Drosophila melanogaster: one gene and its partner. The protein of the gene in region 2 purifies or fractionates together with the protein of the main gene of each other region. This does not show direct contact. Each region holds a gene or a part of one and is shown on either strand. Other genes may lie near its edges.

Region 1 (3,024 bases), on a different chromosome or scaffold from region 2:
AAATAACCCCGAAAAGTAGGCCATAGTATTAGCTTCACCTGGCCAAACTTTTTGATCCACCGAAGTTTGTGAGTTTATAAAACTAATTCTAAACATTCAGACTTTCTAATCATATTGCATAGTTTATGAGAGGCATAAGGACATCCTTGGTCTGGTCTAGAAATAGCCTTGAATGTGTCCACATGTCATGTGGACCAGTTTTTTTTTATGAATGAAAAAAGCACCACACCCAGGAGCACCGGGGCAATGCTTCACCTTGCTCTTGACTGCCGCTTTGCCCCAAACATCATAGTACATATATCGATTGTTCGCTTTAACTTTGGACCTGCGCACTAGCAGATACAGATACTCGTACCAAGATACATAGATACTATAGATACGCGTACTTATGTAGATGTTTTGGCCCCAGCTGCTTATCACTGGCACATTGACGACAATGAGCTTTATATGATGCAGAGACCGAACTGTTGCTTCCCACTGACGTCATGGGAATGCTGATGATTAGGGTTTCTTGCACCGAATGTAACCAAAATCCAAAGGCTGCATAATCACCGAGAAAAGCGATGCGAAGTTTTGTTTATCATGTAATTTGTAGTTGTATAAATGAAGTTAATGATAAAATATCAGATATCTGTGACTCCACTGTGGGTAAAGTCCTGAAACCAGTCGAACTGCTCCAGCCAGCGTTGCATCACGCCGCCAAAGACGTACAGACGCACTGGAACGTAGTCGACCTCTTCGTTCACATCGTCGGAGGAATTGGATGACTCGCGTTCGTTATCCGAATCGTCATTCGACAGAAGGACATCCAACGCAATGAGGCAGTGCAGCAGATAGATAACACTGGACACCAATGAGGCTGTCGCCTGGTCCCGCAGGCTACCGAAGAACGGATGGAGCGGCTTCTCCGGATATAGTAAATCATCCGGGTTCCTTCCATCATACCATATATAGAAATCCGTCTCGGCATCGCCCAGTGCCATCAACGATATTACCGTATATAGAACAAATCCGATCAGAGGACGCACAACTTCCTCAACGATCGATGTGCGATGACCGGTGCAGAGATTTATGCTGGCAAAGAGCGTTACCACTGTGAATATGTAAAAGAAGGACATATAAAAGCTTTGGATTAGAACATCTTCCCATTTCATCGTTGTCAGATTGACGAAAACAAATGCTTTCAGTTGGTAGTACAAAACGAATAAGTTGGCCGTCGTCTCCACCATGTAGAAGAGAAAGAGCACCGGGCGCATTTGATACAAGTAGACCCTCATTTCTGCAGTCGCTTCGAACGCTTGACAAAACTAACTACAATAAGTCTGTGCGACAGGTGTACTATGTTTGAAGTGAAACGCTTTAATTCCAGCTCAAAAATTAAAAAAAAAAAAAAATAACAGAATATGTAGAGCCAGGAACTAAGCTCAAGTCAATTTGGTCAAAAAGATTTGGCTAAAACTACATAAGCGGCCCAAACGAATGGTCAAAACGAACTGACTAAGATGAAAGACCAAAACGAAATAACCAAAGCAAGACAAAAACGAAATGATATAACGAAATTAATGGCCAAAACCGAATGACCAATACGAAATGGACAAAATGCCATAACCTAAAGCAAATGGTCAAAAATGGTCAAATGATCAAACGGAAGGAGCAAAGCGAGGTAGTTTCGAAAGAGCTTCATTCTACTAATTTACAATTTAATTCAGATTCTTGAAAATATGTTCATTTATAAGAGTCAAAACAGTTAAAACAAATAAGAAATGTATAGGCCATAGGTCTGCTACAATTTGTTAATGGTTTACATTCTGCCCAAAGGGTTTCCACAAAATGCACTTTGTACCCGGAATGTACATATGTATGTACATACATATATGTAGTTCCCATTAGCGAACTCGAAAGACACGCTTTTGTTGTAGCCTCGGTTTCTTTCTCGGATGGAAAGTGCTGCTTTGGGCTCGGCTCATCTCGTCTGATCATAAAAAACCACTTCACTGCGGCGGTTGGTGCTTCTGTTGCTTCGTTTGCTTCTGTTGGCCGGACGGACTGCGTCTGGAAACAGTAGCAACATTTGCCTGCCAGTTTGATGCTGTTGACTGCTGTTGACGGCGATTACGTTGATGACGCGCAGACCGCAACGAATTTACGCGCAATTCTCCACCGTGCTCCAAACTTCAAGCTCCAAGCTTCAGATTCGGCTCCAGCTCCAGCTTCATCTGAAGTGGCTACGGGGTGGGGGTAAGCATTTAAATAAATGTTTGTACACACGAGCCGCTCATGAAACGCCAAAAAGTTAGTACACTTGTACAGGAACAATTGAATTTTGGATGTAATATTTAATTATGTACTTTGGTCAAATAGATTGGTGTAATCATAGGACCTAAGCTAACTTTTGATTTTTAACTTATGCAAGTTCAAATACTGGTTGCACTTTTATACATACTTTCCTTTCATATTAATCAATGGCTATAAATGCAATGCTACATTCGTTTTTTTATATATATATTTGAGTTCAATGACCTTTAGGAAATTGAGATAAGTTGGCAGTACCCTGCGAATGCTCCGACGATGCGAATCGATAAAAAGTAATAAGTAATAAGTAATCGATATCCTTAGCGCCGTGTATTCCCAAGTTTCCGCGCAATTGTGTTATTTATTTATTTTTTAGTTTAAATCGCGTGATTTTGTGTCGAATATTTTTCCGAGGGTGTAGCTTAATCCGTGTGTTGGGCAAAAAACTACAAGAACGGCCAGAAAAATCACAAAGCCCTGTCTGCTATTGTTGTTGTAGCCACTGTATTGCCTGTTGCAAGCACATGTGTGTGTGTGTGTTTGTGCAAAGTAAAAGGGTTAATTCATTTAACCATTTCGACTGCGTCATCTCTTTGTGGCTTCTTAACATAAAAAAGGCTGAATGCTGCTGCAATTTTGACAAGCGAACGCACCGCATTTTAGCGACTTTAAGTGCAACAACAAAAGAGGGCAGCTGCTCCTTACGTACATAAATACATATATGTATGTACA
Region 2 (3,760 bases):
GTCCTCGAAGTGTCGTGCAGCCTGCGAACGAACAAAGAAATCTTCAATTAGGCCTCACATCTGCAGCGCGAAAGCCTCTAATTTATATCGGCCTGCGATAGCGAGGTGCCCGCTATCCGGATATAACTGGGGAACCCAGTATGTGAGTTCGCGGCTGGGATTTTGTCCCACATATGAAGTTGGCGTCGAACAGCTGCTCTGCATAACGGGTTTAGCAGGCTGGCCCATATCAGCTGATGACTTTCACCTTCGCCTTGCCACAAACACGGGCCCGCCCCCGTCAAGCCTACGCTCATAAGGGGCCTTCCCCTTTTCCGCCTCGACCGCCTTGGAAATCTGGGGAAGCGGACGGCAATCGGTCTAACAGCTGTTTATCGGGCGGGTGGGCGTCAATGTTTATGCACACACATGCGGAAGAGGCGCAGGTATACACACAAGCGCAGGGAATTGGACTTGGTATGCGGCCCCTTCTGCAATACTGGGTTCAAGGTGAATTGGCCACAGGACCCGCACTGTGGCCCCATGGCGGAAGCACCCGTGGGAAGAGCTGATTTTATTCATGGATAGCGGAGTTACCTTGGTTTAAACCGCGTCACAGATCGATTTTTGTCCACCTAGGCGCGAATTTCTTACGCTTCCGCTGACTGCTGGTCGCATCGATTCCGGTGCCACTGCTCTGGGAACTTTGGATCCCGTTGGGTATCTGGTAATTTTGAATGCACTACACACGCCGCAAAAGCGTTTGCATTTGCATTGGGTCCGAAAAAATTTGGTGCGCAACAGAACGAACGTCCCGTTCCTAACGAAAAACTAAAGTGTGTGCTCACAAATCCGTACATCTTGCTCAGCTAGATATTATCGATAGGCAGTGGATGGATTGTCAGCTGGCCGACGGCACCTATCGATAGCTATTCAAATCCAAATGGCGGCCATGTTGTTTGTTTGAAAGCCCAAAATAGGCTGTATTATTTTTGTTTATTTGTCCTGCAAATTATAAACAAGGGAGTCTCCGAGAAAAAGTGCAACTGCATCACTAGATTTTTTGAACATATCCGAATTGATTAAAACATTTCTGATTTATCACTTGCCTAGCTTTATTGTAAAATATTGAATAAACCTCCATAACATTAATACAGGTACCAAGATACCGAGACTTTCATTTTTGTGTGTGTTGCAGAAACGAACTCCAAATAATTCGCGAGGGTGGTTTGACGTTAACAAAGGTCATAGTTGATAACCAGTTGAAAAGGATTCATTATTAGTTGGATCAGGTTTTGATGCCAATCTTTAGAATTTGAGAATTCTTACATTAATCAATACAAATAAAGCTATTAAGGACAGAAAACCACTTGTAAATCCGGTCTCATCTTCCATGTTTTCGATGACCAACAGTTTTCGAGAAGGCTTATTTAACAGTAACTTTAAATCATTCTCTAGATCCTATTCAAAATTTGGTATATTTGTTGATTTTTACATAATAGTTGACTGCTGGAAGGAAACGTTTCCGTCCCTAGAATTTACATTTATTCTTATTGAGGATCATTAACCGATTCGATCTGTTCATGTCCTCCTATCTCTATAAACGCATAGATTTTTGGAACTATAAAACTTAAAGATTCAACAATGTCACGTTATGTCTCTTAGCAAAGGGAAGTTTAATCCTTTCTATTTTAGACTAAGCATAACGTTGACAAAATGTTAGCTCGAAACACATTGTTAAAAGTGTTTACCAAAGGGAAAATGGGGAATACAAAGTACTGTGAATTGTTGTAGCGCATAATGAAAGCGATTCTCCGAGTTTGTTTTTATAGGACTATTCGTAGTCACTTTCTTGTTTGCACCGAATGCATAAACAGAGAACTGCAATTCAAAAGGGAAACTCTTGCTCTTTGCCTGATTTCACCACACTGCTCACTCGATTGGCGCTCCTGTGCTCGACGCGAAAGCTTTTCGGGGGAGCGGAAAAGCTGCGCCAAAGCACGAAGTCCACGATCCCGATCCCTAAAGCTCGGGCAAGGCCTCTTGAATGGCACCGAGATTCCACCAAAATAATTTCAGTTGCGAGCGGACCTCTGCACGGAGTGGAACAAAATCTGAAGAGCAAAGAGTACAGTCCGCGGAAAACGTTCAATTAATAGAAGCAAGAAACCACATATATAATCTAATTATTCTCGTATATACCCCACATATATCTCGCCTGTGCATATACGAACCCCGTATATATGTATCAGTGAACAAAAAGTTGTTATACATAAAATAAATTGCGAAAGAAGAAACACCATTATCAACTAAAAATAGTGACCGATTCTCAAAGGAATACAAATTTTAATAACGAAAGACCCCAAACGACGAGAACGAATCAATTATACAATTATAACACTATAAACTGTAGAACACACCAAAACGAGCAGACACGCGCACGCATGTTCGCGTTAAGGGCCTAAAGCACATCAGAACCGTAACCGATCGCAGGATGACTTTCACCCGCCTCAAGACTCTCTCGCTGCTCGTGTGTGCTCTGCTGGCCCTGAGTTTTCCCGGACATGTGAGTGGTGCAGGCAACAACAACAACAAGAAGGGCTCGCAGCCAGTGGCGCCTCCGGAGCCGGAGGCCGTCATCGAGGAGGTCAATGCCAAGCAGCTGGAGAAGCTCCTGGCCGACAAGGATTACGTGGCCGTTTTCTGGTGTAAGTGGGAGGGTGGTTATGCCAGTGCTCTCGGGGTCGTCCGGGCACCGCTCATTTATCGTCAGACCGGACCGTACCGGACTCGAAATAGTAACAGAAGCCATATTATATAAATTTTCGCTAGTGAAAATTCTAAAAATTCACATACAAATGAAAATATGTGAAAAATTCGTTGCTCGAAATGTCCGCGATTTTCATTCGGTTAATTTTTTATTTTTTTTCTATTTCTTCATTTCCTCCCCGAGTTGCCAGTAGTCTGTGCTGCCTTCCCTTTTCTATATTTTTTTCATTTCTGCGCTATCTTTGCGATCTGTTTATGAGTAGAGAAATCTCTCTTGGCTGTGAGAAATCGTCTTTGCAGCTTTTTATATTTTCGGTTTTTTAGTCTATTTTGGCGCAAACTTTTGGCACAAAATATACCTACATACCTATGAAGCAGAATTTAATTTCCTTCCAGCAGTTGCCAACAGATTTCCTGCCCTTTTAAATTTATTTTCAATCCCCTTGTCCAGTGGGTCCCATTGGTGACCTGTTTTTGGGTAACCAAAAAAAAAAAAAAAAAAAAAATGGTTACCGTTCGCGTGAAAGAATGGCTTATTTATTAAATCTCTTTAATCAGTTTAAATATAGATTGGGCATTTGCGCGCTGTTCCCCAATGTCAAAGTTAATAAACACGAAAGTGATCTTCGGATTGTAATATTCTCCTTTATATGTATATGTACATATACCTCACGATGTGTTTCATTAGCATTGGCGGCAATTCCAAAAATAATTGTTGACAATGAAAATATTTTAAGTCCAAAAGCCTCAGGCCCAATGACGCTGGCCGACAATCGAAATAATCATGGAATATCTACGCAAATGGCAGAGCATTGAATAGTTTTGGCAATTAAATCGCAGATAGTTCAATATGTAAACGAATTCTATCGATAAGCTAAATGTGTTTATTATTTCAAGTGAACGCTATTTATGTTATTGCACTGCATGCGATAGCACTCTGATGATTTTAAATCAAACATCCTGCAGTGGATTTTCCAAAGCACCTGGTGTACACAGGAAACACCTTAGTGTT

Evidence for each region.
Region 1: the proteins of hlk (region 2) and CG14315 purify together in Drosophila melanogaster (affinity purification with mass spectrometry, with the first as the bait; one large-scale study listed by BioGRID). This does not show direct contact.

What each region holds. Positions count from the first base shown.
Region 1 is NT_033777.3:18,157,023-18,160,046, reverse strand, and holds CG14315 (uncharacterized protein), read right to left. Parts: upstream 1,347-3,024; 5' UTR 1,278-1,346; coding exon 624-1,277; 3' UTR 576-623; downstream 1-575.
Region 2 is NT_033778.4:6,738,966-6,742,725, reverse strand, and holds the start of hlk (hulk), read left to right. Parts: upstream 1-2,053; 5' UTR 2,054-2,473; coding exon 2,474-2,687; intron 2,688-3,760.